2 linked regions of the Oryzias latipes genome follow. The protein of the gene in region 1 interacts with the protein of each later gene in a biochemical or structural test. Links are inferred from orthologs where the notes say so. Each region holds a gene or a part of one and is shown in the gene's direction. Other genes may lie near its edges. The genes, in order: crkl and mitogen-activated protein kinase kinase kinase kinase 5.

Region 1 (16,719 bases):
CACGCCGACCGCCGCGTGACGTCACTGGAGAGGAGCATCCAGTTCCTGCAGGAGCAACACAAGGAGACCCTGCAGAAGCTCCACGCAGAGATAGACCACCTCCGAAGGGAGAACAAAGGTGTGCAAAGCAGCAGGCTTGAACTTTGACTTTCAGATGCATTGGAATTCACAACATTGGAAAATTAAGTGATTAAGAAAACCTGTTGGTTCTTTCAAAGTAAAATACTTTTTAAAACAAATCTGTGTCTTGACCTGAAATTTACAAATTAATACTTTTCAACAATAACCTGCCTCTTTTGAACAAAGAAAAGGCTAAAATCTACATAAAAAAATCCATAAAGCTATGGGGAAAAATAGTTTCTAATTCAAGTTTATTCAAAAATAATGTTCCAAATCTGAGTGTGTGTTAATGAGGTGGAGTCTGCATGATGCTGAAAAGTCTCCTCTTCTGAATGTTGTAGAGTTGCTCTACAGACGGATAATGGAGCCTGCAAAGCTGAGAGGAAAAGGAAAGTTGCAGTCTGCCCTGCCAAGAAGGATTTAGACACACAACTAGCAATAGGCGAATTGATCAACATGTGTCTCTTTACATTTTGTCTCTTTTAGGCCTGGAAGCCAAACAAGTCATGAAAGCTCCTGCAAAGGGAGGTGAAGCTCACACAGGTGGATCCATGCAGGAGCGAGCCCTGGAGCCACGCCCCTCTCAGGAAAACGATTTAAGGTGCGTTTTGCTTTCCATATTCTACTAAATAAATGAGTCAAAATATAATGTTATTGATATAACAAAAAAATTTGTAAAAAAAAGGCAAATATTTGTCATTTGGAGCTACTTATAAAAAAGTCAGAGTTTTTTTTGTGTTTCCTTCATTTTCACCATAAGAATGGATTGTTTTAAACCTGAAACAATTAAAATAAAATTAAAACAGCAGCTTTATCTCATATTTAAGTTAATGCATGATTGCATCCTAAGTTTTAGGAGACATATTCATAAAGTGTGAAACGGATTTATACATGTCAATGTAGCTGCACTTAAGTCTGTGTTTAGATCTCATTTCAATCGAAGTCAAAAACTGCTGATAAAGTCAAACTCTGGATAAGATTTATGGAAAAAGATGATTTATTTAGATTATTCCAGCATGTAAACACTTTCTTAGTATTATAACACTCGTCACAACATTTAATTTAACATTGTAAACCTTTATCTAATCTCTCTTGATCCAGACTAAAAGACAAGCTAACTGGCTAGTCTTATTATAAATATTAGAGAATTTGTTTGTGTTTGAAGGGTTTCATCTTTAGGCAAATTCCCTCATTGAAATGACAAAAACAAAATCCCCAAATCTTTATGTAAACATACAGCAAATATAATAGAACAGAGAGATGTATTATTTCAAGGTTTCACAAATCTTTGTCAAAAGACAAAATTTAGACAGAAAGAGGTAAAAGTGTTAGCAAAAACACAAATACGACACGATGGGCTAAAACACGAGCAAATGGAAGATGGAAGAGAACAGTTCGTCGTGTTTTTCCCTGTGACACATGGAGTCCAAAGCAGCCTGACATAAAGTGAGGGCTCAATGTTCCTCCATAAAGTGAGATCAAATTGAACGCAGCGTGATTGTAGTGTTGGGACTTTGAAAAATGTTAAAGGGCCTAATTGTGTAAAGTCAACTTGCTGAGCTTGTAAGTGTGTTATAATGTTCATTATAAACAACCCCAAAGCACTATCTTCATCCATTCATGCATTTCTGAGTATTTCTTTAAAAAACTTGCACTCTGAGCACCAGCCCCTCCCAACCCACGAAAACAAGTGGATCCTCACGTTGTGATGTCCCAAAGTGAGGACCCGCCCCTTCCAGGAAGTATCTGGACTGCCCGCACCGCTAGCGTGTGTAAACAGCAGAGCGTGTAGTAAAAAGGATGATGGGAAATGGATGCAGTCTTGCTTACAACTTCAGAAGTGAATTTCTATTGAACTCCTGTTGCTCTGCAGAAACTATGGACTAGAATATGAAACAGGATTTTTAATTTTGGCTAAAAACAGCATAAAAGACCACTGGGAACACTTTTACAATAGATCAAAAGATGATCAGAGCAGCACTTTAACCCTTGTGCCATCCTAGGCACTTGAACGTTGGGAGTTGGGTCATCTAGACCCACTAGACAGTGCCCTGAACCTTTTTTCTTTAATGATTTGTAATCTTCACTTGTGTCCATGGATTACATGAAATCTTTCTACCTTTATCCACCTTTGTCATGGTAGGGAGAACACGTCAATGTAAGGGTGGGGTCATAACAAGGGTTAAAATGTTATGCAACCCAGCAGAATATTAAAACATCCTGGAATAGACACTAAAAATGTTAGAAGTTCCTCTTCCTCGTGTGATACATGTGTAACACACTTGGGTGCTGGCTTCCTGGGCTCGGCAGCCCTCTCATCCCTGAGTGGAGGTCTCCGTGTCCCTCTGGTGCTGGTTCTGGTCCTTGCCCTCGAGCGCTGGGCCTCTCCTGAATTTCAGTGGGTGAACCTGGTCGGGCCATTTTTACGACGCTCTTCGGGGGACCCCCACTTTATTTGGGCTTCCTCCTCTTGGGCTTGCTCTCTACTGAACCTCCCGCAGGGCGGGTGGCTACCTGGAGCGTGGGGTGGGTCTCCCTTGGGGGCGTTCCTGGCTCGTGCCTGGGGTCCACCCCAGCAGAACATAAACACTCAGTCGAGCACAGGTGTCAGCTCACCTTTGCACAAATAGTTTGCGTGACTGAATGAAATGCTTTACATGTGTCGGTTTGTATGCGTGTGAACTGTGGTGGTATCGTAACGTTTTGGTGTGTGGACAGGCCCCGCCCCTTTTAGAAAAACATTTACACCAGACAATAATGAATCTAAACTTCATTGCTGTATGATTCTGCTCCTCTTTTTTCTGTAATCGTCCTCCTATTTCTGTAACTCCCCTCTTTTTTCTCCCTTTCTTTTGTGCCCTTACCCCCTCCCCCCCTCTGACATCCCTCTGTTTTCTCTGCTCTTCTTCTTTTCTGTCCGGTCCAACAAAAAACGGATACAAATATAATTAATAGAAATAAAGTTTAGCCTAAATCACAAGAGGGGTTTATATAAATATACACCTTGTGTGTCAGAAGATTCATAACCTCATGTAGAAAGTAAAATCAGTCTGTTGGACAGAAGACTTACTGAAGTTCATAAGGAAAGTTCTGCTATGATCACTGATATTTTTTGCTCTTGAAAACGCCGCAGAGTTTTGGGATCCCCTGGGCCAGACGGCGGCGGACACGTGAAGGGGGCTCCTCATCGCTTCCCTACAGCCTCTGCAAATCCGCCGCAGTCTCTCTCACCGCGCAAACGCTCCCACACTCCAGGAGTGTGAAGTCATCAAATATTTAACCTTCTATGTTGCAGTAACTCTTTTGAGGAGAGGAAATTACCCAAACATGGTCATCAGTTTTTTTCCAGGGAAAATGTGAGTGCTGCTCTGATTGAAACTGCTTTTTTTATCCTTCATCTGTGTGGAGCAGGCTGTTCCATTGTGGTTCATATCAGACCTTTCTTTTATTTATTTATTTATTTATTTATATCTCAGGTCGGAACCCTTTCCAACGAGGCTGGTTTTACCAGCCTTCAAGCGGAGCCTGGGCTCCAACATCAGCGATAGACAGAGGAAGGCGCAGGGTTTGCACAGAGATCGCCTGAAAAGAACGCTGTCCTGACACTTTCCAAACCAACGCGGCGCTCTTTTCAGAAGCTTTAAAGCTAATTAAAGAAGCATTTACACCACAGAAATGTTTTCTGTTTTTTTTTCTATTTTGGGTTGTCTCACCCAGACAAATCAGTAGGAAGCGACGTGATCTGCTCCTTCCATTTATGGAATTCGTAGATCAGCTGTACTAGCTTTGACATGTCAGGGTGTAAGCTGGTAAACATGTCCAATCCACTTCTGCACCCTAAGGCCACAGCTGTGTAGAGCACCAGTCTTTAACCCTTGTGCTATCATAGGCACTTTACCATTGGGAGTTGGGCCATCTAGACCCACTAGACAGTGCTCTGAACCTTTTTTCTTCAATGATTTGTGATCTTCACTGGTGTCCATGGATTACATGAAATCTTTCCACCTTTATCCACCTTTGTCATGGTAGGGAGAACACGTCAATGTAAGGGTGGGGTCATCTAAGATAACACAAGAGTTAAAACAACCCAATTCCAAATGCTGGGACTTCAGGGCCCCTTGGTGGGCAGTCGAGCTGCAGTGGAGACAGGCCGCAGTCGTAACAAAGACAAAAAACACATCACATCATTTTTCTTTTATAATTGGTTTATTGTGGCCCTCTGGCTGATGAAAATAGAAATGTAAAAATAAGAATAAATATAAAATACCATCAAAAGTAAACCCAATTTACACAGAAAAACACAGTTGCTTTGTATATTTCTGTTTTTATTCATGTCAAACAGAAGTATAATTCATATATATTATTTTAAAAAATAACACACAAAATGAATGCAAACCAGTTTCAAATTGTCCTAAAGGGTAAAAGAAGACTAGTGGAAAACAAACCCTTTTTTTTCTGTTAAAGGCTGCAGACCCCAGGTCTAAGATGAAGTTTACACAGGTTTAGGTTTTCTCTTTTTCTTTTTTAGGACCTGAATTCCTGACGCCTAAATAGTAGCCAAAAATGTTTTCCATGTCCTTCCAACTCCTTAAAAGCCACAAAGGTTTTCGGTCAAATGAATAAAACAAGCATAGTTACTGTACTGCAATTCTTTGTTCACTCTCTGTTTGCCTTTTTAGGTTGTTAATCTAAAATTGCAATGATTAAATCTGAGTGTGTTTTGTGAGTAGTCTGCAAAAAGTGGAGTTTAAGAAAAGAAAAAGCAGTGGTGTCTTCATTCTATGGTACAAAAAGTTAGAAAAAGTCGCTTCACACGCTGTCTTACCTTTCTATTCTTTGTACAAAACTAGAGTGGATGTGAAACTCATAATAACCAGGCAGCTAATAGGTTGCTGTTAATTGTTCATTATGCTTTAAACTAATGGGATTGAACATTTCAGAGAAAAGTGTGTGATCTCTAAAGACAAACAGTTTGGTTACAAACCACAGCAAGCAAGTGTTTGTTCCTTTCATAATTGTTGGTAAAACTAATGAATACAAGTGTGTTCAAAGTGAGCATAAGGTGTGTAACACAAAATATAACACATTTTAGAACGAGTTCAAAAATATACAATAAAAATAGGTGTTTCTAAAAGTTTTTAAAAAATTTTTTTTTGCTTTTTTGCTCCACATATTAAAAATAAAACACGTTTTGGTTGAATGTTGCTTTTTTTGGTATATTTTTGTCCCACTTAGATGTTTTTTTTTTGTTAATTTTCCAACACACATAGTTTTCCTTACTTTGGTCAAAATATCTGCATTCACAAACAACCTTAAAAATAATTTTCATTTTGTGTTTATGTCATTCTTAGAGCGTCCACTAGGTGGAGATGTTTCTAAAGTAAACACTGCTCAAATCTATAATAGGCCATAATCAATACACATCCTAGGTTTCAATCCTTTTTTTAAATGCCAACCAGATTTGCTTTTCTTTTTAAATTTAGGTGATTTATGATTAAAAAAACAACAACTAGGTATTTAAATGAAACTAAAAGATCTGAAGCATCAAAAAAAGGAACTAGCACTGGGGTTTGCCCAAAGGTCCTGCATCAGGATGTTTCTAAAAAAATACCAGCCAGTTTCTAAGTTGTTTTTCTTGCCTTCGCCGTGACAGATTAGTTGCCTCGTTGCTTATTTTCCCTGAAATCTGGGAACTGGCATGAATCGGTTGGTCAGACCAGCGTTTGTATTCTGGCAGTGGCGCTCTGATGAGAGGTTCACTGTCTTGATCTGTAGCCTCACAAGGCATAGCCGCTGAAACCACAAGCACAGAGCTACCTCTTTGTGTGTTTTACTTTCATCACAGAGCAGAAGTAGCAGCCCTGCTGCAGAGTTTTGCCTGTCAAATGAATCCACTATTGTGTTTTGTCAGGGAGGATTTTTATGTGGCACAGCCTTTTGCATTTTAAAAACTCTTTTTTTTCCCTTCCGTTGTATTTCTTATTGAGTCAAGTAGCAGTTTACTATTAGTGTGTCACCGTCCAATTCCAGACCATATATACATTAAGATCGAGTGAAAGGGGAAGTTAAGAAACATCAGGAAATGAAATAAGAGAAACATGCTTTTTTCTCCTTTAGAGATACTTAACAGAGAAAACGGGCTTTTTCATTTTAGCGAGTCTATATCTCAGTCTATTATAAAGCTACACATCTGCAGAGGTATCAGCCATAAAAAATATCTAAGCACTAAGATATAAGGAGTTTTGAAAGTGTAGCTAAAAATTTTTGCTTTAAAATCTCTGACAAATTCAGCAACTCCCTGAACCTGAAAGGGATTCAGCAGGTTTAGGAAATGCATGGATGGATGAATTCAGGCTAAAACCAACAAAAACAATGGTTCACTTCTATTTAGCATAAAAATAACAGTAACAAACACAAAGCACTGATGTACTTTTCTACTGAAGCTCCTGCCAGGTTTACGTCAGAGAAAAATCAGCCCAAAGGTTGCAGACCCCTGGTATACTGTGACATTTCTCACACAATATTTGAGTAGTTTGGTTTTATTAAGTTATTTTTTCTCTCTTATTTACTTCAGAATAGTAGCCTAGTCTATGATCAGTGGTGGATTTAAAACATTTCATATGGGGGGGCAGTAGACTTTAATTGGGTGGCAAATGTGATAAGCAGAGAGGAAGGCCATTACAAATGAAAGGGTTAACCATGTTTCATAGTTTTATTATTGTTATTAATAACAACACTGCATTTTTTTTTTTTGCTGAGGTGCCATTACTAACAAAGCTTGCATTAATGATTTCTTAATCTTTGTGAAAATAATAATACTGTTTCAAAAATTGGTTGGGGGCAACTGCCCCCTTCTGCCCCCCTGTAGCTCTGGCCCTGCTCATGGTGGTTAAATGGAGGAACTCCTGCTTCACACGATTCCCTTTTGTTTATTAGCCGTGCGATCATTGAAAATTTGGCCGCACATCTTTTGGTTGGTGTTTTGTCAGGTCTAAAATGGAATAGGAAGAAAAAGAAAAGAAAACTTAAACCGGCACATTAAAAAAGAAAACTTTATTGAAAATGAACAGTTTTACAGAATATATAGACAAGGGCATCCGAAACAAATTAATGAACACACTTTTTTTTTACTCACAATAATAAAAGCAAGGGACATGAAATGACAACAGTGACACATCAAAGTGGGCCCGCCAGAAACGTCATCACTCGCCCACCTTTTCCTCCGCCCACGGCCCCACCCCTTCCTCTCCTGCTCCCCTCCGTGACGTGCAGATAGAAAGCGGGACCAGCCCTCCCGTCGCCATTTTTCCCGTGTCCTGCTTGCGCTTTCTGCTGGCTGAAACAAGCGGGACCCGCTGAAATTAGAGAACGGATATCGCACGGAACCGGCACGCCTGGATCTCTCGCGGGCACTCGAGGAATGCACGCGAGAACTGGAGCGCAGCAGACACGCGGCGGCCGTCATATCATTTTTTGGTGTGAAGACGTGTTGCGAGCCGCCATTTTTCCCCCCCTCAAAAGTCTACTCCGACCCGAGAAAGGGGAGTTAAACACCCCAATTCCGTGACGTCCGCCTTTTTGTGACACCAAGAGGATACAGAGTCGGTATTTTCTTTCTCTACGCTGTCACAATTTTTGTTTTTAGTTGCAAACATGGAGATGGAACGCGCCTGAGGCCACCCTTTCCGTTCTCGTAACTGACACTGACTGAACTGAAGCTAAATAATTGTGAGTTTTCGCGGAAGGCGGAACAACGAGAGGAAGCTTTATTGATCATTTGTTGCTTCAGTTTCCGTCGATGTTCGTCCGTTTCGGGGCCGTTAGCTGCTCGTCACATTATGCTCCCGGGCTGGATCAGCAGGTCGGTCGCAGCCTGTCGCTGAAAACGTCAGGTTGATCTTTTGTTTATTTGTTTTAATCGGGTCCTCGGGCGACGAACGCCCTACCCCGCATCTGCCAAGTACTGCAGCTGGATGCGATAGGCCCGTTTGAATCTAACTTATTCAATAGTTCTCATTTTCTTCTTTATATTAACTTATTTTTTAAAGATTTTTTTTAAAATGTCCGCGTCCCGATTTGACTCGTCTGATCGCTCGGCCTGGTATTTCGGACCAGTGTCGCGACAGGAGGCGCAGAACAGGTTACAGGGGCAGAGACACGGCATGTTTCTGGTGCGAGACTCGTCCACCTGTCCCGGGGACTACGTGCTGTCGGTGTCCGAAAACTCCAAAGTATCTCACTATATCATCAACTCTTTGCCCAGTAAGAGGTTCAAGATAGGAGATCAAGAGTTCGAAAACCTCCCAGCCCTTCTGGAGTTCTACAAAATCCATTACCTGGACACAACAACGCTAATAGAACCAGCATCCAGGTACGATCGTGACGTCTTCCAGCATCCCGGTAGACGACCACTTTCTGTTCTGTTATTCCTCAGCAAATATGTCGTTGAATTAGCATGTTATTGGACAGTTCCTGTTGAGTTTGTTTTAACATTAGCTAAGATGTTCATGAATAACTAGCCTGATCTGTACACAACTGTGTGTGACATTAGGGGGTGTAACAGTTCGATTTGTATCATAATTCATAGTTGCCAACCCGATTCATAGTCGATATTGATTCATTTTGAATGATCCGATCATCCACTGACCTGAAATCAATCCACCATGACATATTTCGCCAAAATTTCAACCAGTTCGACTCAGAGATAAATACTTGGATACTCAACAGTGCAGGTGAAATCTTCCAGATTCCCTGTCTTTCTTGGAAGATAATCAGGTGTAAATTAAATATGTGTACAAACAAACAAACAAGTAAACAACAATTAATGGCAAATGTATTTTAGTCTAACAAAGTTCAGCCCACTTTTGTTTTTCCACATAAGAATAATACAAAGGCCATTTTTAGAACATTCTACCACACTGAATGGTGACGTCTTAGCTAAATTCATAGTAGTTCCTTAAATTGAACTGGAACGATGGACTGATCTTTTTTTATTTTATTTATTTATTTATTTTGCCGCTATCACGTTTGTTGTCCTCTCTCAAGGTCGTTTTTACGTTATAGAAAAATAAACAATCCAAATGGTATTTTCCTGTATCGATTTGAAGGTCATTTTGAAATAATTTAATAATGGTATAGATCAATTCTATTAACAACAGATAAATCGATCTGGAAATCATTTAAGGCAATTGATCGTTACACCCCTGTAGGGTATAGTACATTTGCGTGTGTATTCTAGTGTTTTTACACACTCTTACACACCAAGGCATTAGTGCACTTCATGCAGATGATACCTTTCTTAACCCTTTGACACCGTAACTTTAGCTGCTGTGTTGATGGTCTTGAATTACAGTAACTCTTCAACCGTTTAGGCAATTAACATATGTTCTGAACTATAAGTTGCAGCAGCTAAACAATACATCATAAGGAAGGGGGGAAATCATCTATTAGTCACACTGGAGTTTAAGTCGCACTTTTTAACATAGTACGTGACCAAGAACTAACGTTTAATCTCTAAAGGAGATCATACTAATGGAAAAGATAACAATAATGCACTTATTATCTGCACACTTCACTACAAACTGATGCATGTATAGTGCAAGCATCAGTGCATTTTTAGCCAGTTTTCTCAACTGTAGAATCTGTTGGAATTTTGTTACTTGGGTAAATGGTCCAAGAGTTACAGTAGTTTGAAGAGCATGTGTTGTTTCATGTCTATTAAAGGGTTAACAAGGAACCATTGATACACTCTTCTACGCAAAACATTTCAGTTGGGTCATATCTTTTCAGGTACCCAAGCACTATTGGTGGTCCGGTCCAGTCTATGATTGGTCCAGAGGATAACTTTGAGTACGTGCGGACACTATATGACTTCACTGGTAGTGACGCGGAGGACCTTCCATTCAAGAAAGGGGAGATCCTTATCATTTTGGAAAAGCCAGAGGAACAATGGTGGAGTGCCAAAAATAAAGATGGACGCGTCGGGATGATCCCCGTGCCCTACGTGGAGAAATTGGTACGACCCTCCCCCCATCCTGGCCAGCCTTCCCACGGCTCGCGCAACTCCAACAGCTACGGTATCCCGGAGCCATCCCACTCCCTTGTTAACGCCTATGCCCAGCCCCAGACCTCTCCCCCCATGCCCCCCGGCACACCCGGAGCAGTCATTGCCCCGTTGCCCTCCATGCAGAATGGTCCTGTGTTGGCAAAGGCCATTCAGAAGCGTGTGCCCTGTGCCTACGACAAAACTGCCCTTGCTCTAGAGGTAAGTTCAATCCTTCTTATCTGTCTTTCTATATGTAAATACTCTGTCCTTTTGCATCACCAAAAATTTACTTGGGGAGAGTTTTTTAAAATTTTCAGATTTAAAGAGACTTGTGGGAAAATACACCCCGAATTCATCTGTTTGTCATGAAGCCAGTCACTTTTTTAGGATTGACAACAGCAAAAAATCACGTTCAAATAGACAGGACCACCATTGAGTTAAAATGATGGGTTTATCGGGTCATTGTGTGAAGATTTATTCAAGAAGTGTGTGTGGTTGTATACAAATTTCTTTTCTGATGAGGGTAGTCTGAAAATATGGACACCCTGAGACAGCTGTTGTCTATTCATGTCTATCACATCAGTGGTTTTGCTAGATTTGAAGGTCAGGTGTAACATGCTTATGTCTTCGATTGTTTTCTCTGAACAGGAACAAAAGTTGAAGTTGTGGCAAAGGCTTTGGTTATCTTGGGGTATTTTGGTCTGCATCTTAAAAAAGGGAGCTACTGTGTAGACCTGTCAAAAAGTTAAGTTGTAGATGAGCTTGGAGCTTATCTAAAGTGTTTCTCAGTATTAACACACAGTCCTGGACCACACTTCTAGTAGAATATATTCAGTTTCAACTGTTTTATGATGTAGATTTTTGTCTCACTTAGCAGAAAGTGATAAACATTTGAAAAACTACTTAGGAAATAGATCAGTGGTGATTTCTCGGAGGGGGAAAATAGTCCAACACGGAAGTTAGCTAAATGTTAATTTAGCCTATTGCTCATATTAAAATGTGTCAGCATTTAATAATCATGTTGATTTTGAACACTGTATTTTTAATGGAAGCATGAACAAATAAAAATCCGAAACTGGAAGTACTGAATAAAGACACAAGCAGTAGATTAAACACGTTCTGATAACGTCTCCAGCCTTCTCAATGGAACTATTTTGTAACTGTTGTTTATGTAACATGCAGAAAACTCCCACCACATAGTTACAATCAATATCTTTGTTTATAGCCAATAAAACTGTAAAGGAGATCTATTTTATGCTCTACACCTCTTGTTGTGTGAAACTCCTGTTTGTATCACCGTTGGCTATTAACTCATGACCTGCTGTCGACCTGTTGTTCTGTTTACCGCAGAAATAATGTGGTGAGAATTACAACAGAAGCTTGGAAGCTTTCTGATTGGTTGGATCTTCATGTGGTTTTCTTTAGAATTCTCTGATAGAATAAGAAATAAGATGGTGCCTGCGGTTGATTTAGTCACTTTCTGAACATTTATTTAACTTTATATTAAAATTGCTTTGATGGTAAAATGTTGTGTGAAAATGGAGCATGGCGGAGGCTACCTGGGAGGACTTTGAAATCCTGGAGTGGTCCAGTGTTGACATTCTTTTGACCATCGTAACTCTTGAACTATTTACGCGATTAACACGATTTTTGATGTAATCGTGGAAATGGCATAAGTCAGACTTGTAGAATTCTCTCTCAGAAATGGATTTTCTTACATGAACATATGCTTATGTGATTTCAGAATTGCACACGCCATTGAAATGAAGGAAAAATTCCTAATATTTCCCAGAGAAACAACCATTTTTTCCCCTTATGAAGTCCAAATGCTTCACAGCAAAAATGTGTTGCCTGTTTTGTAGTTCTGTTACTTTCCACATATACACTTTTCATATTGTACTATAACATTTTGGCCAGAATTTTCTAATCGTAACTGTTTAAGGTCAAATAACCATTGTCTGATAATTTATTCAGCATGTAAAGATGCTCAATGTCGTTGACCTGCAGAAACAGAACCAAATCCATGGTTGTATAGAATAGTTCAGAAAGTCCTTCATAGACTAGTTTGAAATATGGTCATGACATGGACACAGATTGTTGCCTAAAGGTTTGTAAAAGATGGAGCACTTGATATAGGCCTGTCCCATTTCTGCCCTCTGGCTCCTGCCCGTCTTGCCCCTCACGTCAAAGGTCAAAGTCTCCCTCTTTAATTTGGAGGGTGAGACTTTTAGGTCCCACTCTCCAAGTCGTTTACTAGGCTTAATAAACGACAACCATGCTAAAACTGAAGGCAGGGTGATGCACAAGTGACAATTCAACTCTGTAGAAAAGCCCTTTTAACAAAAAAACAGTTTTTTTTGGGGTGAATTTCGATTTTATTCTCCATCTATAATTTTACCCAAACTAACAAACGTCTTACCCACTTTAAAAAACTTTGATAAAAATGGCTCTTTTTTGGGTTTATTTTAGGGCTTTTTGTGTGCTAAAAAGCTTCAGCTATTTGCTCTTTTTATCATTATATTTTTGGAAGCAATAAGAAAGGAGGAGTAGAGAGAAGTTTTGAACCAGTGGTGGCAGCTTGTGTATTGGTGTCAGCTCTTATAAATAGACAAATGCAAAATAGAGGCAGCAACACAGTCGGCACCAATGTTAGGTCAGTTGATGAAAAACACATGAAGACGGGGAACCAAACAGGGCAGCGAGTGTGTGAGAGCTCCCAGAAGGAAGCTGGAAATGAGTGTGGAAGGAAATCAACAGTTTGCGTCAATTTCTATCTCCATCAAGGAAGCTTTTTTTTCAGGAGCAACAAAGTATTCCATTCCTAGATTACACTATTTAAAAAAAAAAAAAAAATTTGAAATGAATAAAGTGTAAACTTGTACATTTTTTTTTCTACTGTAAACTGGGGCTTCCTTTGCCCCAACTGTGACATTTTTGCCCTATTTTCTTACCTTGTTGGGGGAGGGGATGTTTTCGTCACCCCCTGGCTTGTCTATTTTATCAGCATTGGTAATACATGATCTTGAATGAAGTTTTTAAGTCCTGTGTCTTAATGAAGGCAATTAATTATGAGCTAAAGGTTTGGGTTAAGTTTATTAGCTACAGTTGTGAGTTTTATCAGTTTGGGTTTTAGCAACAACAACAAAAAGATAGTGTTTCAAAAAACTAGGCTGCTTTACATTTAGATTTTTCTAAGGAACTTTATTGAAATGACAATGCAAAATAGAATAGTAATGAAACTAAATCTCCACTGATGTTTTTAAATGTTGCCGTTTTGACTATTTTTTCCTCAGATGGTTAACACATGAAACTTGTGTGTGTAGAATATACCTTAAATCTGTCGCCATCTCTTTGGAAGTGGGTCACATGTGCTGACCCAACCCCTTTTATTCACTCTGCTGTATACAAACTCTCCAGCCTCTGTTATTTTTGCCTTAAGCTGCACAGCAGCTAACGAGAATCCGAACATGAAGCTTTTCTGTGTTTTCCTTTCAGTTTGACTCATTTATCTCCTACTTGTTTAGTTCTGACAGCACATACCTTATTCTGTTGCATCATGTCTTTCCTCCCATCAGCCTCTGTTTTGGGAAGAAGTCATAGCTCGCAGCCTAATAACATTTTTTTTTGTGTCATTATTGTCTTGTTGCTCACGTTAGGGGAAACTGCACAAAGCATGTAGAACTGAACTTCGTTTCTTTGAAGTAAGATGATTGGATGGATTTTTTTGTTTGGTTTTTGTCGTTTGATGCCACGGACATGTGACATGCTTTTAACCCACGGCATTCACACTTGACAAGCAGGGAGGGGCTACTTTTTCAACTGTTTACTAGCACTTATCCGCAACCTAAAGTTGGAAGAGGTTTGTTGGGCATGAACAGTTTGGCACTTCCTTGACTTAAACGGGACGCCATCCAATACGTCACTGCCAAATCCGAATCCCTGATTGGCCGAAGTTCGACGTTGTTTTACCTTCAATGGCCGCCCGCACGTATGTGGAGCCTGAAAGCGGTCTCAAAAATATTGCGTAGCTATGCGTGATTTTTGCTCACGGAAGCCCAGATGTGGATTTACGCACATTTCCATTGACTTTTCATTGGATGAGGCCACTTGAATGTTTGTTGCAGAGGGCAGTGTGAGCGTAGCTTGACAGTTTTTCAGGCTAAAGCTTTAGTTTCATTCTTCTTATTCCAGCTTTATGTCTTTGTTGTTAACCTGTCCTTTTATTTCTATGCTCCTATGTTCATAATTTGGACTGTGGGACCGGGTGTAGCTAAATGATGCTAAAGCTAAAGAGGGGATGTGTTCAAACTTTCAGTTTCCCTTTAATGTTGTCACCAGGGCTGCATGTTGTGAGAAAAATGAACACAATAAAGCTCCATTCGATTGGTCAACGGTCTCCCTGTGCCTGTCCCCAGCCCAGATAAAATACAGGGTTGTGTCTGGAAGGGCAAACTCTTTGACAAACCACCTGTGCTAAGTAGAGAAAACTGATTGGCTGTGGCCACCCCCTAAAGCTAGAGCTGTGACGGTTTGGGATTTTTGATCACCGCGGTGATGAGCAGCACGAGTCATGGTGTTGGGACTCTTGCCCCCCCAAAAAACACAAAATCCTCTGGCGGGCGGCCGCGTCGCACACTCAAGAATGCAAGTTGTAATGGAAATGAATACAATGGAAATTCCCCCAGAAGACCTTGAAGTTTGAACACAGAACTCGCAGAAAAAGTTAATAATTAGCAAAGATGAATGTGTGAATGTGTTTATCATAGTTCAAATCACGCACCATATGCAGAACTTTCAAAAAAGAATTTAAAAAAGAGGAACGTGCAGTGATGAGTCATCAACGCAGCGATCATCTCATCACCGCGGTGATACGGTTACCGTCACACCCAAAACTAAAGCACATGTGTCAAACTCAAGGCCTGGGGGCCAAATGTGGCCCTCCATGTCATTTTATGTGGCCCGCGAGAGCATAAAAGTTTTTAATTTCGTAGAATAATAAATAGAAATTGGAGTGCATTTATTCATATCTAGGGGGAATTGAACTTGAAATATCAGATTGGGTAACTATACATTAAGGCTTAAACACTGTCCATATAACCTAACCTGACAGAATCAAATGTAAAAGGATTTATGTTAGAGTAACAAGCAAACATGTTTTCTATGCAACTGTAATTGTCACTTTAAAAAGTTATAATAAACAAATGAGTCATTTGACATTAAGTTACATTACATTTAGTTACATGTATAAGTCATATCTGGCCCTTTGAGGACAGCCACTCTGCTGACGTGGCCCTCGGTGAAAATGAGTTTGGACCCCCCCCCCCGGTTTAAAGGAATATGTCTAAAGATCAACGCCGTGCGGGTTCATCCGATTGGTCAAATGGGATTTATTTGATTTGTTAGAAACTTCAAGCTGCCATGAGATTGTCTTGCATGTATGTAAACATTTAAAGTAACAATTTCTTGCTGGTTATGCTGTCTTTTGGGATATCGGCTGATAACACTTTTAAAGCGCTTCTTTTGTACTTATGTCATGTGATCAAGCCCAACTGAGGTGGACGTGGAGGTCTTGCAGCGTAGTCATTGGTTGCTTCTCTCTCCTCACAGGTCGGCGACATGGTCAAAGTTCTACGGATGAACATCAGCGGTCAGTGGGAGGGCGAGGTGAACGGACGCAGGGGGCACTTTCCCTTCACTCATGTCAAAATCGTAGACCCGCTGAACCCGGACGAGGGGGACTGACGCGACCCTGGATGCCCCACCTGTCCCGCCAGCGTCACAGTAACGAGCTTGTCTGCTTGATGTGGGGCGGGGGGTTAGCCAGCTGTCACCGGGCTTTTAAAGAGTTTACAGCTGTGGTCTCAAATGTGACCCTCCTTCCTCAGCTCCCGTTTTCAGGTTTTAGTTCCAGGCTGGGCAGTTTATCTCCTCCTCTTCATCAGTCTCTTTTTATTTCCACATGACAGTGCATCAGACTGAAAGTTGTATGGAAACGTCCATGTGTAGTTTTTAACAATTTAGACCATGCTTTTGAAAAATCAAGATATGGAAAATAATCTGGATTTGGTAGGAAACAAAATCGATGAGGAACAAGCCAGCCATTATTTCTCCAATCCTTCTAGTCGCCGTTGAAGCGGAGCCATCCGCAGACACGCACACATCATTGGTCGGATTCTTCCAATGGTTTCTGCCTCCACCTTCCTGATGGGGCGTGGCACGGCCGGGGTGGCGGTTCATCTGATCGGTGCCATAAGATCAACCTCTTCCTCTTCGTCTGTTGGAGGGCGGACTCTGAATTCTGTCGGTACCGATGGCGTCTGATGATTTTTCTTTCTTTTTTTCCTTCTTCTTTACCGATAAAGCTTAAAGGTTATAAAGTTCTTCGTGCTAACGGCTTTCAGCTCTAAAAGACTTTGAACACGCCGCATAGGAGTGCCAATTTGAATAAGATTTCAAATAGCAATGTATTTGCCAAAAACATCTGACTACTATCGAAACAAAAGATATGGTTTAGCGTTTCATCTTGACTTTAAGTGTTAACCTCTTTAAACATT
Region 2 (16,681 bases), on another chromosome or scaffold:
TGCTCTGTCTGCTCAGATAGTCTCCTTGGATGGCATAAGCATAGCCCCTAATTCCACTGTTAGAAACCTTGGGGTTTTATTTGACCAGGATTTATCATTTAAGGCTCACATATCTCAGGCGTGTAGAACTGCCTTTTTTCACCTGCGGAATATTGCTAAGATCAGAAATATACTTTCTAAGAGTGATGCTGAAAAACTCCATGCATTTGTTACGTCGAGGCTGGATTACTGTAACTCCTTGTTAGCAGCGTGTCCTAAGAGTTCCTTAAAAGGTCTCCAGCTTGTTCAGAACGCAGCAGCTAGATTGTTAGCTGGAACAAGCAGAAGAGATCACATCACTCCTGTGTTAGTTTCGCTCCATTAGCTCCCAGTTGATTCTAGAATCAAGTTCAAGATCCTCCTGTTAACCTATAAGGCCTTACATGGAATGGCCCCGTCCTATATTAAGGATCTCATAGTCCCTTACTATCCAATAAGAACACTTCGTTCGCAAAATGCAGGACTGCTTGTGGTTCCTAGAATTAGTAAAAGTACGGTTGGAGGTAGAGCGTTTAGCCACCAAGCCCCTGTCTTATGGAATAAACTCCCAGCTCATATAAGAGAGGCCGACTCAGTTTCTACATTCAAAGCTAGACTGAAAACATTCCTCTTTGGACAGGCTTATTGTCAGACTACTTAGTATTCAGAGATTATTTAACTTAATGTTAATTTGTTTAAATTAAACTTAATAACTATTTCTTTTAAAAGGCTGCTAGAAGTTGAAGCTGGGGTAACTATGGTGCACTGGGGTTCTGTCCTCTTTTCTTTTCTACTTCTACCCTTCCTCTCCTCTATTCTTGACCATAATTTATCATTTAGTTCTCCATGCCTCTGTTTGGTACAGTGCGATTCATGTATTGTCCCTCTTTTCTTCTCCCCTCCTGGGGAGTGGGAGTGCTTCCAGACTCCAGTTGGTTCATCCGTGCTCCAGTTCCTGACAGTTTACCTCGCCTTTGCTCGCGCTCCTACACCTGGCTGTGGATCCTGCCTCTGGCTCATCTCTGGCTCGTCTCTGCTCTGTGCCTGACCGAGTACCTCGTCTCTGCTCCTGCTCCTACACCTGGCTGTGGATCCTGCCTCTGGCTCATCTCTGGCTCGTCTCTGCTCTGTACCTGACCGAGTACCTCGTCTCTGCTCCTGCTCCTACACCTGGCTGTGGTTCCTGTCTCTGGCTCGACTCGCGCCTTTGACTGTCCCCCCAACCACGGCTGGATGAAGCTCGTCTGCTGGACTTTTACATATGTAGTTGAAGATTTAGATAAGTTAATTCTTCTCTTTGATTTCTGGCAAATCGCCTGTCCGTCCTGGGGGAGGATCCCTCCTTCATGTGGGCACCCCTGAGGTTTCTTCGTTTTTCCGGAATCCGTTTTTTTGGGAGTTTTTCCTTTCCGGGAAGGGGCGTCTAAGGGCAGGGATGCCAGTATAGCTTAGTCAGTTTGTTAGTTCATTTTAGTATTTTACTATTGGACTCTTTGTATTCACGATCCTTTTGAGTTCGTGTTCCACTTCGAAGCCCATCGAGACGACTGTTGTTGTGATTTTGGGCTATACAAATAAAATTGAATTGAATTGAATTGATCAGCTGCAGATCTTCTGGATTATCTCCATATAGCTCATTAATGACACAACACCATACTTCTTATACATTTTAACCCTTGAAACTGTCCTACTCCCCTGTCAGTCTGTGCTGCTTTCCCACGAGGCTTACCTGCTTCCCTCGCAATTCTTTCCTACTCCCCCTGTGGATCTGTCCTACCCTGCTGTGTTTAGGACCTAACATCAAAACTGCTTGTTTGTCCTTATAGACCTACAGTAGGTAGGATTATCTGATAACATAGGACATTTAAAAAGCTATATCTATAATTTTGTGCTATGGGTAGGAAAATCTCACAAGGTAGGACAGATCATTAGAACAGTGGCATTGTGGTAGGAGAAATCCGCTGCTGTCTGTTGTTTATATTGCAGTCTTGAGTAATATAGGAATATCTTGAGTTCAGAGATGCTACCAGTGTTTTGTTTTTATATATAGGCCTCAGTGAGCACATTTTTGACATGATGTGTGAGTTTGTTTTAAAGTACTTTGTATATGTTGTAACCCTTGTGCTATCCTAGGCACTTTAACATTGGGAGTTGGGTCATCTAGACCCACTAGACAGTGCGCTGAACCTTTTTTCTTCAATGATTTGTTATCTTCACTGGTGTCCATGGATTACATGAAATCTTTCCACCTTTATCCACCTTTATCATGGTAGGGAGAACACGTCAATGTAAGGGTGGGGTCATCTAAGATAGCACAAGGGTTGATAAATGAATGCTGTTAAGCTTTTCTAAAAAACCTTTAAGCTTTTATCTTGTTATCTTGTCTCCCCCCCCCCCACACACACTTTTTACTGAACCGAAAAATGATCCGAACCATGACTCTAAGGCTACGTTCACACTGCAGGGCTTAATGCTCAATTCGGATTTTTTGAAAAAATCCGAATTTTTTGCAAGACCGTTCACATTTCCAAGTAAATCCGAACTTTTTTGCTCTCCAGTGTGACCGTGACACGACCCAAAACTGACCCGCATGCGCAGAAGAGTACTCAACGGTGAACGACGTCACTCGTTGTTTGCGGAGCAAACGTGAACAATGGATGTCAACAACAGTGTCGTCAACAGTGGAGCTCTTTTGCAAATCGTCTGTACCCACTGTAGTAGAATGAGGATGTGTTCGGGCCGCACGCGCCGTAGAGACAGGAGAAGAGCGTGTGCAGCGATGGAGAATGGGGGGGAGCAGTGTGGACGCGCATTCAGGTTGTGTGTTACGGAGGAAGTAGAACGGTAATAGAAGAAGGTTTCCCCCAGAATAAATGCTATTGATTCTTTATTAACCCGCTCTGGAGAATCCTGGAGAATTTAAGGGTCAGAACAGGGAGGAGGAAGAGGATCCGCCTTGGGTCCCCCGCGCTTCTGACCACGGTCGGAAAGGGGAGAAAGAAAAAGAAAAAAGTAATCGCGGGAAATGTTCAACACCACGCTCGGCCAGATTTAGCTGGAAATTTTTCCAAAAACCGCCCGGTTGCGATAAGAGCCCTGGAGTTTGGCCTGAATAGAGCTGTCACCCCAAAGATTTATCCAATCGGGGACATCGCATCCCTTCCACCGACTGGTCTCAGCAGCATCGTCTGCCATGGTTGTTGTTTATGTTTCGTTCCCGCCTACTTCAACGCACAATGATGACGTTTGTTGCGTATCGATGACCTATGGTTCGGAATCAAGCCGCCTGGCCGGTCAGACGGCGGTCGCAATTGAAAAGATCGGATACGTTTCGGATTCAGGACGGCATACCCAAGTGGCCTGGGTAGTAATTGAAAAGATCGGATCTGTGTCGTTCAGACTGTCATAAAAAGATCGGAATCGGGTTGCATAGGGGCAAAAAAAATCGGAATTGGGTCGTTTCAGCCTGCAGTGTGAACGTAGCCTAAAACAGTAACACTATCTGAACCGTGAGTTTTGTGTTACATTGCACCCCTAATAATAAACATTTAAAGTTGTTGTAATGCACTGATTGGTACTTTGTTGATGACTTATGCTGTCCTATCTAAATGTGGTACAGTCTGCTATGAAGCAGGACAAGACTTTTATAAAAAATATAAAAAAGTTGTTTATGATGAATAAAAAGTGTCAATTTTATATGCATTTTCAGCTTTTTTGTTGTTGTTTCTTTTTGTTTTTGTGTCTATTCCTGATTGCTGTGTTTCAGTTTCCCTTTTGGAATCAAAGGAACAATAACCGGTAGCATAATAGATTTACGTCTGGGTTAAGGTGGAGGCTGTTATTTGTGGTCATAAGACCTGTTTACTGAGTCTACCACATTTAGGTGGAGGAGGCCGTTGGTTGACAGCTGAGCTGTGTCTCATGAAAAGAAATTTCTTTCAGTTGAGGTTAAAACTTTGGTGCGGTTTGTAAAGTACTTTATATCAGTGGTACCCAACCTTTATTAGCCCACGTACCGGTTATTATCAGAAAATATTTTCACGGATTAGTCCGAACAAGGTCAAAGTTGGCATTTAATCATTTTTAAGTTCCTTGTTTCTGAAATATATATTTTTCAAATTAAAATGCTATAACATTAAATTTAGTTTAAAAAGACAATTTGAAACTGTCTGCAGATACTTTACAGATGAAGATTAGATGAAACAAAGATGTTGATTTGTAGAAGTTGTTTTTGATTTGTAAAATTCAGTAAAGGCAATTAAAGGTAATTATTATTATTATTTTTTTTCCTAGCATGCCGTTATGACACTCAATACAGGCTCGGCTTTTTTTCATGACTAAAAGATTAATCTTTTTTTTTTTTTTTTAATAAATTTTAATTCATTGTGTTCATTAAAATTCTTAAATGTCCCTTTTACGAGTTTCCACAAATCAGCAACTTTATTTATTGAATCTTTATTCTCTGTAAGATATTTGCAGCTGGTGTACACTAAGACTTGGTGTAGAACCCATTATAATGTCCTGTAGACTTTCCCTTAAACCTCAAAGTAGAGGCTATAACAACTGGACGCCAACTTAATTTGTGTCCGACTTTTAAGGTGTGATGAATAAATAAAGCAAAATAAAACGACCCTACTGTCATAAAGCAGGTATATTTAAATATTTTGAAGGCAAATCCAATGTGTTTGAAACTTTATCATCGGCGTATGAGTAACAGTCAGTGGCCACATAAATGCAATGTGTGCTTGGTACAAGGGAACAACTGTCCAAATAAATCCATACTCGGAGGAAGACTCCTGTTTTTGACTGTAAATAGCAGATTTCTCTATTAAAGGTCAAATACTCCATTTTCTCAACTGCTTTTTTTAATAGCTTTTTTAGTTATGGCCTTTTCATTTAGTGGCACGAGCATTAGCAGCTTTAAGAAGGTAGTGGATGTATTTAAGACACGTGACCAAGGCGAACAACTTGACATGCGTCAAGTGCTTTGACTGTACATGAGGATATACAGTCAATGGTCAAGAGTAAGTCGTAGAGGGATGTGGTGGACAGAATTTGATAGTTTTCCAAAATAAAACTTCCTTCAGAATCAGAAATTAAAAAAATAATTCAAAGTAGCATACAGGATTTATTCTTTTTTTTGTCAGTGGCCAGTGCAAAATGACCCATGGGCCAGTACCAGTCTGATGCTTGGAGGTCAGGGACCACTGCCATATAACCCTTGGCCTTCAGTGCAATGATTCTGTTCTATTGTTTTTATTTATTCATTTATTTGTTTATTGATTTACTTACTTACTTATAAAATATTTTTTAGGGTCTTATTTATATTAGATGTCCCCAACAGCAGTAGGCGTGTTGTAGGCTACAAAGTCTGCAGCATAGCTGCACATGCTTCTGTCGGTGCACCACTTCCAGCTTCCACACTACAGCACAACTATTTCCTGAATTCTCATGAAGCTTTCTGCAGATTCTTCTGTTAACCAGATGATGCATTAAAGCATTTCTCTGAACTAAAGCTGCACTTCTTTTTACAGGTGCTTTTCTTTCTTACCGGCATTCTTACCATATTTAACACCTTCATTTGCACCTGTCTAAAAGTTATAGCTCATTAAAAAAAAAAAAAAACTGGTTGTTGCTTGTTAACAGGATGTGATGGGTGCCCCCCTATGAACAGGATATGAACAGGAAGCCGAAAAGGGAGCTCCAAGCTTGAGTGACTTTTCTTGCAGTGCTGCAACACACACACACACACGTTGTTTCAGTGGGTGTAAAGATGAGACTGAAACCACTGCAGAAAAACCCCAATCGCAGTTGTACAGTGACAAGTCAGACATCTGCAAGCACTGACTCTCCTAAAGGCTGCCGTACGTGTTCACTCACGCAAAAATCTGGTACGCGTGAAGCTGTCGGTTTAGCTTGAGATCAACTGACTTTTCTTCTGCAAAATGCAAAACATGCGACTGTGCAAACGGCAGTATTCTGTGCGTTGGTGATCTATAGAAGTGCTAAATGCAAACAAAACAGGAAACAAAGTTCAATTATGCAAAATAGCTGCGAAAATATGTCTGAGAGAGAGAAAAGGAAGGTGTGCGATTGAAGTAAGGGAGGATCTGCGAGAGTGACTGAGAGAACCAGGAAGACGTGCGAGACTGGAGCTGAGCCAAGCACCAGTCATACTCAACATAAGGGCTCTCGTTTTGCAGCTCCTGGAGCTCTTTCTTCATAACTCGCCTCTGCTGAGTGGTCGTCGGTCTTAGATGGAGTGTGTGAACGTGTGAGGGGTTGTTTGACATGCCCAAGGGGGGGTTTTAGTGAGAAACAACATGGATTTCCATCACAGGGCAGCTCTGGATATCTCCACCAAGAACCCTCAAGATGATTTTGAGATCCTTTTAAGAGTTGGAGGTGGAACCTATGGTGAAGTCTACAAGGTCAGAGTCCCTGCTGCTTTTTATTGTCTTTGCAACACACACAAAAATGTAAATTAGATAATAATCTGAGAAACTATGGCTGGAGGGAAGGCTGTGTTTAAGTATAGACTTAACCCAGTAAAATGGTTTAAATGGGGAATATTCTAGACTGATACAATCTCCAGTCTGGCTTTTTTTTTTTTACTTCTTTTAGTTTTCTACTAAAACTACTTCTACTTTTAGTTTTATTCTAATTTGAAATGAAATAGGATGAGATTAGTTTTAGTTTCATTGTCATATTGCAGCTGCTTCTTTACTGCAGCTTACTCTGTCAGAGGAAGTGATTCGTAACATGAACTGAAAGTATTTATATCTCTTTTTTTTGCCTTAAAATAGTTTTTTGCCTTTGCCGAAAAAGACATCAATCTACTATTAAATGTCAGATTTGTTGAAGGTAGTGAAACTGTATTTTTCTGTGGAAAAGTGAAGTTGTAGTTGAAGCAGGGAAAATTGTACTTCCAGAAAGAGTTACACTCATGTAAGGCCTCAGGGGGTGTTTGTAGAGCAATTGTTCTGATCTATAGATGGGAAGGATTGTATTTGTTTAGGACCCACTTGGTCCACACCAAGCATTTGGCTTGTTAATAGATCCAGATTTCACACGTAAAATCGAAAACTTCCAGTTGAAAGTTGCTTTATAAAAAATCAGATCCATTATCTTCAACTGTGAAAATGTCCTCAATGTGGGTCAGTCTTACCAAGCATTCTGTAGTCCAGAGGTGGGCACTGAGGGCCGCATTCCTGCATGTTTTCCAGCATACCCTGCTCTGGCATGTTCTAATTGGATGGACACACCTGAACCAGGTAATCAGCCATGAGTAGGGCAAGACTATCTGGAAATCATGCAGACACACCGGCCCTCGAGGCCTGGAATTGCCCACCCCTGCTGTAGTCCAAGAATCTTTTTATCTATCAACTTCTAAACATTTTTGTTGGGTTATCCATATATTGTCAGCTGGTTTTGAATCTGCCTGCGGTGGATTGGCGATGTGTTCACGGTGTACCTCCCCTTTGTCAAGTACTGGGATAGGCTCCAGCACCTCAATGATCCCTAAAAGGATTAAGTGAGTTTAGAAAATGGATGGATGGTTTTGACTCTGTTTATTTGTGAAGTTCGTAAAAAGTAAAAAGAAAAAAAACAAATTGTTCTGAGTCTTAAAGTAAATGTAAAAATACATTAAAAAAAAGATTGTCTAAGAAAAATTATCTTTTTATGTAGCAAATAATCATAGTTTAAGAAAACAGTGACTAAAAAATGTTTTTTCTTAAGATTTTTGTGCTTTATTGATAGAAAATCTGCCAATTGGGTAAAAATGTTTGACTTATTTTTTAGGGGCCTGTTTTTGCAGTGCAGTCAGCAGTTAAACAGGTTTTTCCTATTTATTATGAATGTGCAGAGGCTATAGCAGACTCATACAAGCGCTCACAGGCCAAAGTGCTCCATAATGCTTCACCAGTACAACTGAACACATTTTGGTATAGAAAAAGAAAGTCAAACGTAGACGTGTCCAGAATATTGTTGGCTATGGATTTATTTGGACATTTCTTCTTCTAACATACATATTGTTTGTTGTAAAGCATCTGGAAAGAAACTGGTGATTTGATGACGTACATTAGTTTGTTTTTTGGAGTTTGGTCACGTCTTCCATTGCCTCTGGAAGATTGGCGCCAATGCTTGGCAGCGAAGCCGCCATCAGTGCGTGAATGTTTGAATGGGACTGAGACTGTACACTGCTTTGGACCTGAATAGGAAGTCCATGAGTAATACTACTAACCGTCTTGTTTTCAATTAGTTTAAAGACCCAGTCCGGTCATCTTTTGGTCTATTTTCAAAGCGTTCTCAGTGGTCTTTTAATTATGATTATGCATTTTTTAGCCAACATTTTAAAAAACTCTTCCGTTTTCTAGGACAGTTTCTGCAGAGCAACAGGAGTTAATTTGAAATTCACCTCAGAGTTATTGGCGGGACCATAGACGGAGAGCAACCCTGCCCCCATTCCTGTAACCTATGAATGAGACCTTTCTATTTACCTAACATTAGCAGTACAACAAAAATTGCGAGCAATATTGGATCAGTCCAGTTGTACAGTTTTGAGCCAGATTGCAGTTTAGAGGAAAAAGAAGACGTACATAAAAGCTTGTGGCCTGCCCAGTGTACTGTCTAGGTCACAAAAACAATCTTTTTTCAAGCGACATAACTTAGCCTTCACCATGATTTTAATAAAGAAATACTTAGATATGGAATTTTGAGAAGTATGTCCTCCATCATGGGTAAAATGCTACAAGAACACCAAAAGCACAATTTTTTATCAGGGTGGGTTTTTTAATTAACTCTACCACTTTGTGTTTAAACCTGGTCTTCATTGGAGGAAAGGTTACAAGATTCAGAATTTGAGAAAGGTTTGATGGTTGAATAGAACCGATATTGACACATTGACATTGGTAACAGAGAAGAGCCAATAAAGTAAAGGCAACATCTCTCTGCTGCTGCTGAAAATGTGCAAATACCATTTGATAGTTCATCTTTGCAAATTTCTGGGATAACTTTTAAGTATATTTTTGTCCAGTTGAGACCTAAACATTTCAATTTTTTTTAACAAAAAGCTTGAATTTGTATAACAAGTTAAAAATATGAAATTACCTTTCAGGAGCTTTCAGATTGAAATGGTTTTTCAGAGATACAGAGCAGTTTCCCAGTTGACCAATCCTGTCCACACATGACTGGATTTTATTGTTTAGTTTTTACTGGAATGTAAAAAGTAGCCTTTGCTTCTTGTGCAGACACGCACACTGATCAATGCATATGCAGTTGCACCCCCACACACAGCACTGCATGCTGCTCGCCACGTGTTGTTTTTCTCTCAAATTTAGCAAAGGTTCCTGCTCTAAATGCCACACTTCTACATCAGCAGCAGTCCTTAGAGTGCAGCTCTTTCATTTAAACCTTGTTTTAGTGATTAAAGCAGCAGATGTTTTCTACTGAAGGATGAGTAACAAACTCCACTCATAACTCAGCAGACCACTGATGATTTGCAGATACTGATACTTAAAATCCTCAGAACGCTTAAGATTGTATTGTATTTAGAGAACGATGAAAGAATATTGTTCAATTGTATGTGCAAAAGCAGTTATTGATCTCTTTAACAACAACTGAAGCTGTACATGAAGTAGCTTTTTCACGTTCTCTACAGTTTCTAAAAAACACTCAAAACACTTCAGAAAACAACAAATTATTTGAATAAACAAATCCTGTAAATGATTATTTATGAACATAGAAGTTTGCGGGTGTTTTGTCTTGGTTAAAAGATTTTTGTCCATATGTAGGGCCATAAGGACCTGTAACTGTACATGAAGCAAGTTAGCGTTTCAGAAGAATTTTGCTTTTCTGTGTTTAAATATTATCAATGGTTTCTCGTCAAATTTATTTACAATTGTTGAGAAATAATGTGATATTTTATAATCGCATGATGGCATGAAATCTTTATGAAGTCTTAAGCTGACTACTGTGGGTCAGATGACCCTGCTTCAGCTAAAGACATCTCTGGTTGTACCATTATTTGAACATTGGAGCTCTGAAGCTACATATACACTGGTTATTTGACACCCAAGAATCTGCGTTTAGCCCATTGTGTTTACGGTGGACAAGTAGAGAGGGGCTGTTTTCTAGCATATCTCCACCACCTATAGTCAGAAGAGGCATGGTGCCAAATGCCAAAGCGGTACAGATCTGGTGAATTTTGCTCCAGGCTTTTTCTTTCAAAGTTACATTCCATTAAATGAAAAACTTTGGTGTTGTAGAATTTCAAATTGGCAGGAAAAACACAATTATTAATGTCTCCTCTATAATTAATATTCAAACGGTTGGCACCTCCATGAATTAGAAAAGACACTACACACGTTTCACTAACAAATCCGAGTCCATGATTGGTCAAAGTTTGATCTGGTTTAGCTTTTAACGTACGTTCAGTAGCTGTACGTCTTGCACGTGGAGCAAAACCGGTTGTGAGCGTAGTCATAAAAACTTCCCTAGGCGTGTGAATGTGAGTTTTGAGCATGGATGGCCGAAACACGCATTTACACACCTTTACACGCCTTTACATAGACTTCATCTGAAGTGGTTGCTTGAATGCGCATTGCTGAGGGCAGTGTTAACGTTATTTTGGGTTTTTTAGGTAGTGGCTGTTGTCATCTGTCAGTCCGTTGGTGGCAGCTCCAGAAAAGCATTTGAAACCCTGTTCAGGATCTACAAACACCCTGAGGATATTAATAAAGCGGTCACATCAGACCACATATATTTCCATCAACTAAAATGAGACCGAGAACAAGTAGATGGCACATGCAGATGTACTAATGTTGCTGTTTTTCTTATTTTGAGTCTATTTACTGAAGATGCAGACAATGATGTGGCCAATATTTAACCACATCTGTCCAAGCATTTTAGCAAACATGGATTTTATAATCAACTACTGGACATCAGAAATTCCTGTCAGTGGACTAAAAAGAATGTTATTCTTTTTCTTTCAGTTTTAAACTGACCATAAATTAGAGCATTTGGAGAATTTCTTGGTGCTAAATTGTTCTCGTCTTGAATTTTCTTCTGTGTTCAGTGTTGATAGTAATCTGTTGAATGTATCCAGGTAAGCATTTTACAAAGTGAGCGTTTGATATGAAGGATTATCACACACCCATTCTAATAAAAATTGTGTTTTTGGTGTTTTTTTTTTTTAAATGTTCTTGTAGCATTTCTCTCATGATGGAGGAGGTTTATAAAAAATGTAAGATTAAGACAGTGTTTCTGAGTATTTGTTTATTCGAATTGGGATGAATCAGGTGCAGACGAAAAGATGTTTGAAAAAGCTCACAGTTGTGACGTAGAAACTGAAATAAACGAGCCAAGGTTTCCCTGCTCTGCTCCAAGTCTGATATATCTCACATGTCTTCGATCCGGTTCTCCGAGTCCCTAAACCCCATGATTAAGGGGGGGAATTCTGTATACTAAAATCCAAGAAGTTCGATAGAAATTTTCTCTAGAGTTGTGGGTGGGAAGGTTGGCGCAGAGCAACCCTGGCCCCCTTACCATCACTGTTCTGTGTACGCTCTGTCCTGCTAGCTTACAGCCCCTCACACCCTCAACCTAACATTAGCAGTGCAAATAAACAAGCGAGCAATATTGGAGCTATCCAGCCGTACGGTTATGCACCAGGTGCCAGTTCAGACGAGAATGGTGTCGTACATGGATCTAGTCATCTACAAGTGTCTGCATCAGAGTGGAGTGAAGGAGGATGGTTGTGGCCCGCCGATTGTATTTTCTATGTCACAAATACAAACTTTTTCCAACTGCATTTTTTTTCATCTTCTCCTGGTTTGAATAAAGAAATACTCAGAAATGCAATTGTAATCTTAATTTACTTAATAAATGTGTCCCGCATCATGTGAAAAATGCCACAAGAACATGTTGAAAACGCAAAATTCATCGGAGTGGTTTTTTAGATAACAAAACATTCCTATTTATGTCAGTTTTTCTGCTTAATGATCTATATGATTTTAAAATTACCTTGTGCAATTTTAAGATGTTAAACGGCAGATTGGCATCCAAACAGCTGACATAGTTTCCATGCCAAGTTGCTTTTCAACATTTAGTTGCCCTGATCTTCACGTCCATCACACGACTATGGTTTAGTGGTTTCAGTTTCTCTAAAACCTACACATCATATTAGGAATCTGGGTGTTATCATGAACTCTGACTTAAGCTCTTACAGTTCCAATAAAATGTAAGGATTTTCCCTTTAAACACAATAGCAGAATCAAACACATTTTGTCTAAACCAGACCTAGACTAACTTATTCAGGTTAATTCAGATTAATGGTCTCTTCTCTGGACTCTGCAAATGTGCTGTAAGGCAGTTCAACCAGAACACAGTTGTTTGGGTCCTGAAAACCAGGAAGTACGACCATATCAGTCTTTGTCCTCACATCTTTGAACTTAACTTCCTGTTGCTTGGGCCATAGACATCAAAGCTGATCTGCTTTTGCTCGAGTCTTTTTGTGGTTTAACACCAAAGTATGTTGCTGACACGTGGTCCCACATGAACCACCTTGGACCCTGAGAAACTCAGACCTTCTGCTGTGCCCCAAATCACTAAAATGTTCAAAAGCAGAAGCTTTAAAAATGCAGTTTGAAAAAGATTGTATTTGTGACACACATCACATATGCTGGTGGGCTTGTCTGAGCTGGCATCTGGGTCAAAACTGGACGGCTGGATTGCTCCAATGTTGCTCGCCGTTTTTGTTGCACCGATAACGCTAGGTTGGGGGTGTGAGGGGCTGTAAGCTAGCAGGGGGAGTGTGTAAACAGAGAACTCTCAGCAATAGGTAGGGGAAGATGAGAGGGTGTTGCTCAGCACAAGCGGTGCCACCCACAACTCAGAGGTATATTTCTGAGCTACTGCCGCTCTGCAGAAACTATGTCCTAGAAAGCCACACAGGTTTTTAGATTTTTGGCTAAAAACTGCCTAATCATAACTAAAAGACCACAGCAAACGCTTTGAAAATAGATCAAGTCTTTAAGAGCTTACAGTTATTGCTGTTAAGATGTTTTTCCTGCAAAACAAATCTAGTACCAGGATGGCACATTTATAACAAAAAAAAAAGCTGTAGGTCAGAAATCCTGCACACACGCTGCTTTTTATCCATTCTGCAAACCGCTTTGCTGTATCATTTGTTTAGTAAAACTTAAAAGAACAGAAATATTTTTACAAGTAAATGAAAAACATGTTGAAACTTTTGCTTGAGATTTTAAGATTCTGCATTGTCCAATATTTTCGTTAAATGTGTGCAGATTTTAAGTAATTTCATCTTATGAATTAACATGTCTTAACAATTTTTTAAACTCCATACAAGTGCATAATAGAATTTTAAATCATTGACTAATGCGTTCCTTTTATGCTGCTTCTTGTAACTATTGTAAAAAACTGCTTCATAGGTATTTTTTTTTGTTGTGTGAAAACTTCTTTTAGTTATTAACCAAAAAAAGGTTTGGAAATTGAAAAAATACACTGGCATTGAAGGAAATCTGATAAATTACATCCTGAATCAAATTATTTCTGGACTTTGGTTGTGATATTGCATTTAATGAACACATTTTAGCTGTGCACTGATGCTCATTCAGTCAGGCTTGGTACATTCCCTGAATATGTTTAGAATGATAAGAAGAAGAAGTTGGGTGGTGTTAAATATTTTATTTTGAACGGAACCTTTCCCTCTATTGTTTAGTCTCCTATCTCGGAAAAGATGATGTTGTCTTTTTAGGGCATAATCTGATACCTTTTGGGTTTACAGAGTAAATATAACCTAGCAGTAGAAGAGTTTTCACCCTTCTTTCTGGACACCATGGTCAGGTTTTAAGTTAAAACTTTAAGCAAACTACCTTTTACAACATATAAGTAGAACAATTTTTTCTTAAAGAAAGGAGATGAAGTTCACAGATAAACAAGTCCGTGTCTTGGATGGAATTTCAAAGATGCACGCAGAGAGATTTTATTTTTGCAGTTCAAAAACCAGCCAGGGCAGATTCTTTTTGTCTGTTCTTATTTGTTCCAACTCCCACGTGATCTTTTGGAGAGGTCTTTGCGTTGACATTTCCAGAAAAGAACATTTTCTTACTAGCCAAACCAGTTATGAAGACTTAACTTCCTAATTTCTTGTGGTGCATGAACTGAGCAGAAAGCAAAAACCCTGATGGGTTTGTGGCTGGTGGGGCTTTGATGTGAAACTATTCCTATTTTGCCCCTCCTTTAGCAAACCTTTAAAGACTTTTTGATTTTTCTATTGAAGATTATAAAGGAGTCTGCCCTTGAGCTTTATTAATTAGGTTTATTTCCTAGCACCTTTTATATCTACAACACAAATCGCTTTACTTCATGTGTCAAGATAAAGATAGGGTGGAGATTACAGTGATTTTTCACTATAACACAGGTAAACCTTTTGCAATTTAACCTATTTTTATTAGTGCAATTTTGCATACTTTTTTTTACAGCATATGTGGTTCTGCATCCTGATTGGCTATAAACTACTGTCAATCAATCTACTCTCCTGTCTCCTGTTCAGAATCGCAAATTCTGTAACTGTATAAATCTGGCCCTTTTTATCTATGAAGGTTGGAAGTTTAAACGAGAGAAACATGGGAAAAAGTTCATGTCTGTCCAAGAAAAGTGTGAAGGGAAATTCAAACTAAGGATGAATACTTCACATTTTTCACCAATCATGGGTTACCTTGAGGAAACCGTGTACTTTAGTTAGTTTGGTTCATTTATCTTTTAGGCTGGTATTTTATTTTTGCAAAGATAAGTGTTCTAAGTATGTTCATCGAAAAAGACAAAGAGATAAGCACCTCAAAGTAGGGCTCGGCGATATGGCCTAAAAATTCTTATTAAACTCATTTAATTCACACGGAATGAAAAAGGATTCACAAAGTGAGCAGATCAACAAGGTCCCGAGTTACTTTCGGCTGGAAAGACGAAAGGCAAAAACAAAAAAATCAAAATGAACATTGGACTTAAGCAAAACTGGAATATTCTTCCACTCGTGCTTCACTGACTCCGATTTTGTTTTTTTTATTCGATTTCCGATCCCCCCCCCCACACACACACACACTTAAGGAAAGCAATAAGTACAAACGGCAGACAACTTAAAGCAAATTTTGTTTTTATTTAATCAAACGCAAGACAAATGTAACCACCCCATTTCTGGGATGAATAAATAAATGAACACACTCTTGGAATCAAAGTCCCAGCTGTGTTTTAAGTCACACTTTGTAGTCTAGACTAAAGGTAGACAAACATTCACCTTGAGAGTAGCACCATTTTCCAAAGGATTACTAATACAGTTCATATCTGGGATCAAAGTTTTAATTAAATTAACAAACCCCGTCTTCTCCACGGTATATATGGGTACCATGTCTTTGGCCATATGCAAAGCGACCGCTTCGGTCGCTTTTCTCCACCGTGCCCCTTTCGTATGGATTGGGTACCGCGCCCCGGTATTGAACGAGCCCCGGGGCAACGTTCTTCAAGACCGCAGTAACCGTAAGACCTGACCTCAACGGTTCTGCTATCGGTACTGGACAAGTTGCACTAATTTTAATTTTATAAAGTAGAGCTGTGACGGTGTGGGATTTTTGATCACCGTGGTGATGAAGCAGCAGGAGTCGCGGTCAACCGCACCCCGCATGGCCCCCCGCCCGCGCCACCGCCAAACACAAAATCCCCCAGGCGGCCGTGTCGCAAATGAACACAATTCATAATTGCAACACAGTATTCTTTATTAATAAATAACAGTAACAACAAAACACAAAAACTTGATTTAGTTATTTTTTTAAATCGCCCATAACAAAAAAATTGAATTAATTCATTCAATCAATTTTTCACCCAGGCCTACCTCAAAGGTTCTACATTGAGAATAATCTGTTAAAAAAATCTCAAAACCCACTCCGATCATCTTTTGTTTGCAGAGGTCGACCTCTAATCAGAAGATCGCATGGTTGGTTCCTGTCCTGCCTGCCTATGTGTCAGTGTCTTTGGGCAAGACACAGAACCCCACAATGCTCCTGGTGCTTATATCAATGGAGCTGCCATTGGTGTGTGAATGTTTGTATGCTGGTAAATGGGACTGTGACTGTAATTTACTTTGGGCCTTCTAAGAAGGTAATAAAGGGTTTATATAAGTATTCATCGTTTTTAACTAAGCGTACCCTGTGGTCTTTTAATTATGATTACGAAATGCAGTTTTTAGCCAAAAAAAATAAACTGTTGTTGTCTAGGACATAGTTTCTGCAGAGCGGCCGCAGTACATTAGAAATTCACTTCTAAGTTGTAGGCATGACTGTTGGCACAGAGCCCCCCCCCTCCCCATTGTGAGGAGCTCTCTATTTACGCACTCTCCTGCTAGCTTACAGCCCCTCACACCCCCAACCTAACATTACAAGAACAACAAAAATTGGCGAGCAATATTGGATCTATCCATTATACAGTTTTGATTCCAGTTCAAATGAGGAGAAAAAAGACGTACATGGATCTATTTACCTACAAGTCAGAATGAAGCGGAGCAGGGAGCTTGTAGCTCGCCCATTGTATTATCTACATGGCGAGTACAATCTTTATAAAGCTGAATTTTTTTTGTCTGCTCCTTTTTCACAAC

Evidence for each region.
Region 2: the proteins of crkl (region 1) and mitogen-activated protein kinase kinase kinase kinase 5 form a complex in vitro, tested with the Homo sapiens proteins (2 studies listed by BioGRID). The link is inferred for Oryzias latipes from reciprocal best matches to the Homo sapiens genes CRKL and MAP4K1.

The regions. Positions count from the first base shown.
Region 1 is NC_019870.2:17,495,472-17,512,190, forward strand, and holds the start of crkl (crk-like protein), read left to right. Parts: upstream 1-7,382; 5' UTR 7,383-8,180; coding exon 8,181-8,491; intron 8,492-9,909; coding exon 9,910-10,384; intron 10,385-15,772; coding exon 15,773-15,907; 3' UTR 15,908-16,719. UniProt on the Homo sapiens protein: May mediate the transduction of intracellular signals.
Region 2 is NC_019871.2:4,811,337-4,828,017, forward strand, and holds the start of mitogen-activated protein kinase kinase kinase kinase 5, read left to right. Parts: upstream 1-6,053; 5' UTR 6,054-6,341; coding exon 6,342-6,449; intron 6,450-16,681. UniProt on the Homo sapiens protein: Serine/threonine-protein kinase, which plays a role in the response to environmental stress. Appears to act upstream of the JUN N-terminal pathway.